Anolis sagrei: one gene and its partners. The protein of the gene in region 1 binds, or shares a complex with, the protein of each later gene. Links are inferred from orthologs where the notes say so. Each region holds a gene or a part of one and is shown on either strand. Other genes may lie near its edges.

Evidence for each region. Proteins that work in one complex are often made in the same cells at the same time.
Region 2: the proteins of AGT (region 1) and REN are in contact, whole or in part, in a crystal structure (PDB 6I3F), measured with the Homo sapiens proteins. The link is inferred for Anolis sagrei from reciprocal best matches to the Homo sapiens genes AGT and REN. Residues at the interface, in NP_001369746.2 of Homo sapiens: Asp25, Tyr28, Ile29, His30, Pro31, Phe32, His33, Leu34, Val35, Ile36, His37, Asn38, Glu39, Lys91, Leu92, Ala95, Met96, Met99, Leu100, Phe103, Arg107, Arg148, Ala151, Ile152, Gly154, Gln353, Gln354, Asn355, Asn358, Glu391; in NP_000528.1 of Homo sapiens: Tyr81, Met82, Thr84, Gln85, Val102, Asp104, Gly106, Ser107, Asn109, Ser118, Arg119, Leu120, Tyr121, Thr122, Val125, Tyr126, Leu147, Arg148, Tyr149, Ser150, Pro181, Ala182, Leu183, Pro184, Met186, Leu187, Ala188, Glu189, Phe190, Val193.
Region 3: the proteins of AGT (region 1) and ANPEP are in contact, whole or in part, in a crystal structure (PDB 4FYS), measured with the Homo sapiens proteins. The link is inferred for Anolis sagrei from reciprocal best matches to the Homo sapiens genes AGT and ANPEP. Residues at the interface, in NP_001369746.2 of Homo sapiens: Val27, Tyr28, Ile29, His30, Pro31, Phe32; in NP_001141.2 of Homo sapiens: Gln211, Gln213, Ala351, Gly352, Ala353, Met354, Glu355, Arg381, Val385, His388, Glu389, His392, Glu411, Glu418, Asn438, Arg442, Phe472, Tyr477, Ile864, Phe896, Ser897, Asn900, Gln903, Ala904, Arg907.

Annotation. Positions count from the first base shown.
Region 1 is NC_090021.1:61,835,689-61,839,441, reverse strand, and holds the start of AGT (angiotensinogen), read left to right. Parts: upstream 1-796; 5' UTR 797-941; intron 942-2,604; exon of another isoform or gene 2,605-2,648; intron 2,649-3,753. UniProt on the Homo sapiens protein: Essential component of the renin-angiotensin system (RAS), a potent regulator of blood pressure, body fluid and electrolyte homeostasis.
Region 2 is NC_090024.1:192,428,353-192,432,105, forward strand, and holds the start of REN (renin), read right to left. Parts: upstream 2,500-3,753; coding exon 2,429-2,499; intron 1-2,428. UniProt on the Homo sapiens protein: Renin is a highly specific endopeptidase, whose only known function is to generate angiotensin I from angiotensinogen in the plasma, initiating a cascade of reactions that produce an elevation of blood pressure and increased sodium retention by the kidney.
Region 3 is NC_090029.1:22,903,366-22,907,118, reverse strand, and holds the start of ANPEP (aminopeptidase N), read right to left. Parts: upstream 2,764-3,753; 5' UTR 2,334-2,763; intron 1-2,333. UniProt on the Homo sapiens protein: Broad specificity aminopeptidase which plays a role in the final digestion of peptides generated from hydrolysis of proteins by gastric and pancreatic proteases.

The sequences.
Region 1 (3,753 bases):
AGTCTTGCAGTATTTAATTTTAATAAAGTGTTTGATGTGTTCACCTTTTCTCCATACAATATACCAAATTCAGCACTGCATATTATATTCATTGATTTACCACAATTCATAACTTCAGGGAAACTGAGCCTAATAAGTCTAATTTATGTTTACTAGGGGTGGGGGTGGGTGGGCAACATTTGATGTTACTACTGATTGGAACAAAAAAAAATCCTATGCATTTTCCTGTTTCCTGTCCCTGTGCATGAAAACTACCCTAGTCTCAATATCTAAAATCTAGAGCCAGAATTTGATCAGTCAAAATTTATGTTTTGAATATATCGGGCACCTTTATAGAAAGAAACTGCTTATTCCAACTAAAAGTTGTTCCTGAAATGGATCCCACACATCATATCTAACAGCCAATGAAGATCTGTGAATTAGCCAAGATGGGCAAATTGACTATGCTAATTTTTGAAGAACCACATAATCTGGAAACACAAGCTTTCTAACCTCTTTCACTACCATCTCTCCAGTTAGCTGTTTACCATTCACAAATGGTGTACTGGAAATAATGGATATGTTGTACTGATGTTGTATATAATTTGCTGTTTACATTGCAAGATGAGGTCTCCAACTCCATTTTAGGGGAGTGAGAACATAGAAGGAACAAGGGCTTGGATGAGATAGCAAAGAAAACACTGATGAAATGATCTCCCAGACCAGTGTTTGCTTTTCTCATTGGGAAAAGAAACAGCAATGATTGCCAATACATGGAAAAACACATAGCCCAGAACACTGTGCACCCAAGTCAGAGAGCAGAGGGGACAGCTAATGTGTAACTTGGGTTTGGCAATCAAGGGGAAACAAATAAGTAGGAATCCAAATTTTCTTTTGGGATCAGTTCCTGAGCACATGAAACAAGGCAAGATCCTCTTCTCAAAAGATTAAGTCTCTGAGAGGTGAGTGACCATTTTCTACATGGATTTATTTTGTATCTTCAGCATCTAGACACAAAGTTAATTAGTTAGCTTGCTTGGAAATGAAAAATGTAATGAAATGTGAAGGTACTTTTGTGCAATGTGCTAATCGTCAACATTTACGGTTACAATCATTTGTACAATCCACATTTTGCAAAAGTCACAATTAATACGAAGTGTGGTAGGCTTTATTTCAGTGGAAGGAACTGACAAAACAACGTTTGGGTATTCCTTGACTAAGAAAATCCTATGAAGTTCATGGAGTGGCTGTAAGTTGGCAGGTGACTTGACAACATACACATACATGGGGAAAAAATCAACTCTATCCAAGGATTCCCCTAGTTTTGTTCTAACGGTGCTTGGGTTGCATCATTTGTGAATATATGCGAGGAGGAGGTAATTAAACAAGAATAATAATCTGGACCCAGATTATTATTCTTGTTTAATTTGAAAGGATCATAAACACTTTCTGTGAAATTATTAAGCCCAATGCGGAGAAGGTGGAATGGGGGTACTAACGGGGAAGCAGGGTCAACCTGAATCTTTGGCAAGTCATTGTTTCAAAATGGAATGGGAAAGGCTGTACAAACATCAACTGGTCTGAACTGGTTTTGCCCTGGTGCACAATATGTTTTCAATCCTGTTAAATGTAATATGTGTATGTCATTATGATATTGTTAGTTTAGTTAGTGATTTTTTAAAAATTTTGATGTTATGTATTATGTATTTATTCTTGCTTGATTTTATATTTATTTGTTGTAAGCCACGCCAAGTCCTTTCGGAGAAGGGGCGGGATATAAATAAAGATGATGATGATGATGATGATGATTATGATTATTACAAAGATTAAGAGTGCAGTTCTACACTTGCTTAACTCAGTCCAGAATGCTCAATTGAGTTCAGTGTTTGTGTAATGCAGTTTTTGCACCAGTCACCCGCTCAAACTCAGTACTGTGCACTATTCAGACTATTGAAGGTTGCTAGATATTCACTGTGTATTGTATTCTGTGGTTGTTTTATATTGTTTGAAATGTTTTTATGAATTTTGTTGTTATATCTTAACTATGTTGAATCTCGGGCTTGTTCCCATGTAAGCTGCATTTGTATCCCTCCCCTTTGGGGAGATGGAATACAAAAATAAAGTTGTTGTTGTTGTTGTTATTATTATTATTATTATTAACACAACAAGATCAGTCCACAGCAGGCACTCTGCTGGCTGTTGCATTGGATCACATCTAAAAATCCTTCCCAAGTGTCTAGGACTGTGTGATGAATTGGCGAATAATGCATGCAGATCCCAGTAAGGTAGCCTTTTGCAGCTGGCAGATGGTAATTTTGTCAGTGCCGATTGTGTTTAAGTGCAGGCCAAGGTCTTTAGGCACTGCACCCAGTGTGCCGATCACCACTGGGACCACCTTTACTAGTTTGCGCCAGAGTCTTTGCAGTTCGATCTTTAAATTCTCATATCGTGTCAGCTTTTCCAGTTGTTTCTTTTCAATCCTGCTGTCACCTGGGATTGCAACATCGACAATCCATACTTTGTATTATTATTATTATTATTATTATTATTATTATTATTATTATTATGATGGGTGGGTAGGGGTGATAGATAAAACTGACAGCACAGTTTTGGCTCTTTTAACAGACTCCTTTTCTTGCTGTGTTGCTTTTCTGGAACAGTGAATTCAGGCAAGTGAACATCATATGCTCCTGTTTGACTATTGCCACTTTTGTTAATATAGTTACATCATGCCACCTGAAAACATAGGCTCCTCTAAGTGTATATGCTCTTTTTCATCAAGCCTGATGTAATGGTTTGGTAAACTGAAATATTTACTTACACAGCTCCTTCCCAGTGGATACACAGATATCTGGTCAGGAAACCATGTGCATTAGATTGCCACATGCTTTAAAATCCAGCACTATCCAGAGTGCTTGGAAAATCAACATGAACAGGCTTTTCCCTAGAGATGTAGCAAGTATGTAGCACACAACAATCTGTGTTGTTGGTCTGTATCAACTTGAAAAGAGACAAAGGATTCCTGTAGCACTTTTGAAACTAACTAGAAAGCAGCTTGTAGCACAAGCTTTTGTCAACTCAGACAACCTCATCAGCTGCATGGAATGAAGCTTCTATGGATATACATTTACAGGCAATCCTCAAGTTGCAAACATCTGTCTTACCTAAGACTCCTAGTTGCAAACAGGTGTGAGACTACAGGAAGTGAGTGGAAATCTACCCCTAGGAAGAGAAATTCACTCCTGGAAGAGTTATCATTTAGAAAAACGTGCCTCCACTGACACTTTCTCAACAATCCTTGTTTCCAGGACAAACCAAACATCTCAAAATCCAGTTGTCAAAGGGACAAAAGGTGAGGTGAAGCTTTAGCTGACAGCAAAACAGACATTACAGGGGTGTTAACCCTCTCCTAAGCTATCCAAAACTTTAAAATACACTTAAAATGCACATGCTCCAACTTAGGATCTCAAGCAGAGGGAACCAACTTATTCCATATCTTTTTATCTTTCCCCATCTTCTGGCATGACCAGCCATCCTGTGTACTTGCTGTGCCTTTCCCCTGCTTTCTCCCACAATCTGCAGCTTATAGTCCTGAAGATGGCTGCTAGGCTCCATGTCCATGTGCTTAGGAAATGGAAACCCGCAGAGTCCCACCAGAAGTGCCCTCCATGGGACTCCCATGGGGCTATTTCCTAAGTACATGGAAACAGCCTGAAGACCATTTGATGAAGACTTTACATGCAAATTCAGATTAAGAACAAACATACAGAACAT
Region 2 (3,753 bases), on another chromosome or scaffold:
ATCTAACATGCTAATTATTTTTTGCAAATAGTATTCAATAGCTCACTTTAAGGTCTAGATCAGTGGTTCCTAAAAAGTTGATCCTCCATGTGTACCTAATCCTCTAGTGTGGTTGTGATGAGGAGACTAAAAACTCCCATTTCTACATCTGATGAAAGAGAGTTTAACACAATCTCAGAAACCTCTATTGCAGCTGATTTGAATTATGATTAAGGAAACAAACCAGTTTGATTCCACCAGAGAGCCACAGTTTCTTTAGATTTGGATAGCATGAGAAACAGTAGCTAATGCATGTCAAAACACTGCTTTCATGTAATAAACTATGATTTAGCTTTATATCCCAAGTAGTCACTGTGTAACAAAGAAAATTACCTAAAACTGAAAATGAGGTATGAATAGAGGAAAATATAGCACCTCAGTTTAATATGGACTGTTAGGATATCTGAAATGTTGTTATTCACATGCAAACCTACAGTGGATATTTCTCCCTCTCTTGAAAAATCCTTATTAAGCTGAGTTCTGGAGTAAGAACAGATTCTGGTAAAGCCAGGCTGATGGAAATTACAGTCCAGGGCCATTTATAACCATTAGGCCTGGGTAACAACGGAAAAATTTGTTTCTAAAATCGATTTGTATTTGGGGTTTTTTTTTGTTTCGATATTTAAAATAATTACAAAATTTTCCTTTTAAAAAGTTCGATATTTACGAAATTTCGTAAATGGTAAAAAATTAACGAATGATTTCCGAAACAATAACGAATCGATTCGTTAATGGCGGACGCGACCGCGAAATACGCTAAAAAACCTCCAAAACCTTCTGAAGCTTCCCTCTCCCTCTGTTGTTGACTGTTGGTGTGATATTATAATTTTTTTTCACTAATTAAACCATAAAACTGGCCCAGACATGCGGAAATAATAACGAAACGACCTCAAAACAATAACGAAATGAATACAATATCGAAATACAAAGCATTTACAAAACGTTTTTGAAAATTCGTTTTTTTTAATAATTGCTCCAGAATGGTTCGTTATCGTTTTGTAATTGAAAAAATTAACGAATTATTAACGAATTACGAATTAACGAAACGAAACCGCCCAGCCCTAATAACCATTGCTACAAGCGTAGACTTTTGCAAACAGCTGATAAACACATTGTAACTGACTTAGCTTTGTACACAGCACTCTATTGCACTAGGTGGCAGCAAATACTTGCAATGGTCTGGCAAGTCCTCTAAACCTTTTTCATATATAAATTTAGAATATTTGATTTGAAAGGCAACGGAAATTGTTTAAATAGACACGTGGGTTCTGTCTGTCTTCTGTGCTTCACTGTGTTAGGTGTTTCACTGTATTTACATTTTGGATGATTTCTAGATTATTTTCCCAATGATAAAGGAAATAATACCTCATTTAAAAAATCTCAATAGGTATATTTTATCCCATGTATGCTCTTCCTGAGTGTCACAACCCACTTCTTCCTCAATCTCCACTTTTTATGTTCAGTTTTGCATGTCCTTTTTGCCAGATGCTATTTGGGTCTCTGTTGTTGTGCTGCCTTTCTTTTGTACCTGCTTTGTGGAGCAGCTGGCACTGGGATGGATGCATTTGATTAAAAGGCAAAGCCTACATGCCTGTCTTCTTCAGTTTTGAGCAACCCCTTTAGAACAATGGAAATTGCACTGCCTTGTTGAATTTCAGCCTCTAAATGCTTCACCATAGGCTTATGTGGGCTGGGGCTGTTGGGAGATGCAGTCCAACAATGCCGTCTGTCTTGGGGATAAAACCCTTCAGGGACATGCCCAGGCCAGATGCATTCATATCTTTTTCACTTCTCAGTGGCAGAGAACCAACCTTAGCTTATGGCTAGATAGGATCCCATATTCTGCCATCCCAAGCTTATTGCCTAATAGATGCAGCAGGAGATTTCTAATTCCTCAACAGGTAGGTTTAAGCCCCTCTCAGCTTATACTTGGGTGAGGGTCCTGGCAGGAAGGTGTGGTGCTGAAAGAAGGGCTTTTTTCAGCCCCATGCCTTCCTGCCAGGATCCTCGCCTTTCCACACAGCAACCCATCTCTCCTTCCTCTCCTCTCTCGGTGTAGCGTGCGCCTTCCTCTCCTCCTCTCCCAGTGCCAGTCTTTCCCACTTTTCCTTATTCATATACACACAGCATTTCCCCCAAAATGTATAGTTAAAATAAACTTTGGTGATTATTGGAAGAATATGTAAGCACGTTTATATTGAAGAAGGCATTTAATCAGAGTTAATACAGTCTTATCTTAAATTACAGTTTTATGTAAATATTAAAAACAGTTAACCTACTGATGCCTCAATTAATGTAATTTTATTGGTATCTGCAACCCAAGAACATCTGAAGGCACACATTTCCCATCAACATGCCCACTCTTGATTTTTTAAAAATATTGTCTTACCTTTGGAAAGCATCACTGGAAAATGACAAGAAGCAGCAGGTAACTACTGCAAAGGCCCAGGACAGCTGCATTATATGACTGGTTTTGGTAAAAAAAAAACTTCTCTTCTAATCTGTGTTTTCTTTTTGTGTGAAACAAGGAGCCAGGTCCAGTGGGCTTTTATAGCAAAACTTTATGTGACTGGCTTGTGTTTGTACTATTTTGATTGGTAGAAGGAGGTAATAAATCTTTAAACACTTTTGAGGTAGTCAGCCACTTTGACCTTGCTTCCTGGCAAAGGGCATATTGGTTGTGTGTTTATGCACACTCACTATCTCACATGTACGGGATTCATTCAATGTGCGTAACTCGGTGAGGCAAACCAAGAACCCTCTTTAGCATGTTGGAGAAGTTTTTTGTTTTTTGTTTTTTTTTAAAAAAAAACCCTAAGTAGGCCAATCTTGTTCCTTTCATGTAATAGTATTTCTGGCAGGGATGGGAAAGGGGAATCTCTGCGTTCATACTTGGACTATGGATTTTATTGGCTTTCTTTTGAACTGAGGTGTATAATCATTAAATTTATAATGAAGACTGGAGGCAATATGGTTGGACTGTTTATCAACGTAGAGGTTTTTGCCCGGGGGATAATTCTGATCTTTATTAAGGAGGATGTAGAACCGGACAATTCTTATTTTGGAATAGTTATGGAATCAGTGCATTTCCCTAAATATATGTGTTCCAGACAATTAGAGAAATGGTAATTGGACAGAGGGAGTCAGATCACTGAGCTGCTTCAATGAGCAGGGAAGAGGCAAACAGGAATATAATTGACTCTCCATACCCATGGGTTTTGCATCCACTGATTCAACTGTACACAGCTTATATATATATCCAAAAATAAAGCTTGATTTTGCCATTTTATCTAAGGAACATCATTATTATTTGCACGATGCAGCATTGAATTTTTGCAGGAGTTGCAGAAGTTTTGCAGGAGCCACTCTTTTTGCAGAAGTTTTGCAGGAGCCACTCTGACTCCCCTTTGGAGTAGAAAGGGCAGGGAATAAATAGAGTAAATAGAGTAAATAAATAAATAAATTTTACAATGTCGTTGTACATAATGAGACCTGAGCGTTCATGGATGATGGTATTCATGGGGGAATTTGAAGCCAAACAGCAGTGAATACTAAGGGTCTACTATATTTGCCCATCTTAATCTAGCCAGCAGCCATTATACAAGTAAGAATCATCATTGATCAAACCAGCTTCTGTACATGGAAGTGTCTATGTGAGAGCATTGTTCACTATAATACAGAAAGCAAAAGGCATTGCTTTTTATGCATACACAA
Region 3 (3,753 bases), on another chromosome or scaffold:
ACAGATGGGAACAGCCTGCACCGGGAGCAATTGCTTTCCTGGATGAGCAGCCCCAGTATCCCTGGCCATTCTCTCCCAAGACTGTATTGACTCAAATCTAATGCTCATCTTTTGGGGCTAATTGACCTTCCCAAAAATTAGAGTGTGTGTTAGATTCACATAATATGGTAATCTTAGTGTTGAACCAAAGCAAAAAGAGAAGCTACTTCAGGAGCTGTTCTCTAATCTAAGGGATATCTTCTCTAATTGAATTGCCATGGCTCCATGCTATGCAATGCTGGGATTTGTAGTTTGGTGAGGCACCAGCATTCTTTGGCTGCTCCCATAATCTTTGGTCCTCTTAACACTTTTGTTTTTAAAGAAGGATTTCAAAGCAGGCAGCCACTATAATGCACACCTTTTTTGGCCAAATTACAAAGAGGGCACTTTTGGCTGCCTTTTGCACATGACATTTGGCAGAAAATACTTTTTTGTTTTTGTTTCAGGGTTTTGGAAATGGAGTTGTGCCTTAGATTCGATGGCACATGAGACTCCAGTCAATGCAGTACTCCCATTCAGACTTTGAAAGAACCCACATAAAGATAGTTTCCAATTCAGGAGCAGTTTCCAATTCCAGTTTCCAATTCAGGAGCAGATCAGAAATGTGAGAATTATTATTATTATTATTATTATTATTATTATTATTATTATTTGAAACATAACAAGATGAGTCCCCAGCAGACACTCTGCTGGCTGTTGAATTGGATCACATGTCGGACACTTCCCAAGTGTCTAGGACTGTGTGATGTATCGGCGAATAATGGGTGCAGATCCCAGTACGGTGGCATTCTGCAGCTGGCAGCTGGTAATTTTGTCAGCACTGATTGTGTTTAAGTGCAGGCCAAGGTCTTTAGGCACTACACCCAGTGTGCCGATCACTACTGGGACCACCTTTACTGGCTTGTACCAGAGTCTTTGCAGTTCAATCTTTAAATCCTCATATTGTGTCAGCTTTTCCTGTTGTTTCTCTTCAACCCTGCTGTCACCTGGGATTGCGACATCAACTATCCATACTTTGTTTTTTAAACCAATTGTGAGGTCAGGAGTGTTGTGCTCCAGAACTCTGTCTGTCTGAATTCGGAAGTCCCAGAAGAGTTTGGCATGTTAATTCTCTGTAATTTTTTCAGGCTTGGGATCCCACCAGTTCTTTGTTGCAGGCAGATGGTATTTGTGGCACAATTTTCAATTAATCATCTGAGCAATGGTGTTATGCCTCTGCTTGTAGTCTGTCTGCGCGATCTTCTTGCAGCAGCTCAGGATGTGATCTATTGTTTCATCTGCTTCCTTGCAGAGTCTACATTTAGGATCTGTCACCGACTTTTCAATTCTGGCTTTGATGGCATTATTATTATATTTATATTTATATTTATAACCTGCTTTATCTCCCCAGTCAAAGCGGCTTGGCATAAAAGCAATGGTATCCAATTTAAAATATTTATTTATTTATTTAAAATATTTATATTCCGCCCTTTTCATCCCAAAGGGGATTCAGGGCGGAGCACAACATACAATGGCAAACATTCGATGCCGGGACATGAATTCATTATATGGAAATATACAAACATTAAAACAGAATTAAACACAATCAGCATTTAAAAATTCAGTTAAAAGCTATCAAAATATATTCAAAGTTAGAAACCATAGCATCCCATGACTAGAACTTATACATCTTCATCTTTAAATGCCTGATTTAAAAAGGTTTTATTCCTGAGGTTGTTTGTCATTGAATGTTTGCCTGGTTTTTTGTTTTTTTGGGGGTTTTTTGTACTGTAAACTGCCCTGAGTCCCTTTTTGGGAGAGAAGTGCAGTCTAGAAATGATGTTGTAGTTGTTAAGGCTATCCAGACTCTTTTAAAGGAAGGCACCTCCTTTGGACTCTGAGGCAGTGAGTTCCCCAGTTGAACAGCTCTCCTTACAGATAGGAAGGATGTCTTCTTCAAGGACGATCCCCAAAAAACAATTCCTTTGCATGATTAAAAAAGTATTGGGCTACACCTAAAAAGTCCCTCTCTGTGATGAAGATGTATGTGCATAATGGCCAGGGCAAGGATTATTTGAGGGTTGCAATGGTAGGGGGAATACTCTACTGACTCAAATCTAATGCTCACTTTTTGGCTCAAATTAAGAGGCGCATTAGATTAGCATAATACAGTCATTATAGTTCAGAGTGGAGAGTAGCCTGAACCTCCTCCTTCTCTTCCAGGGAAGGTTGCCAAGGGAGGTAGAGAAAGAGGGAAGGATGCTGGTGGGGAAGGGCAGTGGGGAAAGTGGAGGGGGGCTTCAGGGCCGACTCACCTTTGCGGGCCCCATCCCAGGAGCTGCTGCTTTCCTTCCAGCCCTTCCTGCAGCCCTGCCTCCCGCCTTCTCTTCCGCTGTGGGCTCTTTCCTGTGCTGCTTCCCCCTTTCCTTCCCTCTCCCTCCTTCTCCCCAAATCGGTCACAAGGAAAGTGAGCTCCTTCCAAAGCCTGAAAGGAAGTCGCCTGTACTGATCCTGGATTAACTGTTGGGCTGCTGGCCCAGCAAAGGGCGGGAAGGCCAGCAAAGGGGGAGAAGGCGGCTGGACAGCAGTCCTATCTGGCCGACAGGATGTTCAGGCCAGGATGATGCCCTGCGGTCACTCCACCACACTCTTACACTCAGGCCCTTAAAGGGCTCCTGGCCGTTCCTGGAAGAGACCCACAGTGGCCACAGCTACGTGTCCCTCCTCCCGCCGGCCATCCTCTCCACATCTGGAAGACATTAGTGGGTGGATGCTCGTCATGCAGGAAGCACCTCTGGAAGAAGTCTCAGGAGGAAAGGAGGCCCATCTGCAAAGGATGCCTTGTTTAGTTCGAATGGATCCGCAGGAACAAGGAGACCTGACCTATCGGTGGTGGCACCCGCCCTTCATCCAATGCACTCATGTGCAGAAGGCGGAAAGAACAGGAAAAGATTGGGTTGTAGGTTTTTTTCGGGCTATATGGCCATGTTCTAGAGCAGTGTTTCTCAACCTGGGGGTCGGGACCCCTGGGGGGGGGGGGGGTCGCCAGAGGGTGTCAAAGGGGTCGCCAAAGATTATCAGAAAAACACAGTATTTTCTGTTGGTCATAGGGGTTCTATGTGGGAAGTCTGGCCCAATTCTATCGTTGATGCGGTTCAGAATGCTCTTTGATTTGTAGGTGAACTACAAATCCCAGCAACTACAACTCCCAAATGTCAACGTCTATTTTCCCCAAACTCCACCAGTGTCCACATTTGGGCATATTGAGTATTTTTGGCAAGTTTGGTCCAGATCCATCCTAGCTTGAGTCTCTGGATGTAGGTGAACTACAACTCCAAAACTCAAGGTCAATGCCCTGCAACCCCTTCCAGTATTTTCTGTTGGTAATGGGAGTTCTGTGTGTCAAGTTTGGTTCAATTCCATCACTGGGAGAGTTCAGAATGCTCTTTGATTGTAGGTGAACTATAAACCCCAGCAACTACAACTCTAAAATCAATCTTTCCCCAAAACCTCACCAGAATTTAAATATGGGCATATTGAGTATTTGTGCCAAATTTGTCCAGTGAATGAAAATACATCCTGCATATCAGATATTTACATTATGATTCACAACAGTAACAAATTTACAGTTATGAAAGTAGTAATGAAAATAATGTTATGGCTGGGGGGGGGGGGTCACCACAACATGAGGAATGGTATTAAGGGGTTGCGTCATTAGGAAGGTTGAGAAACACT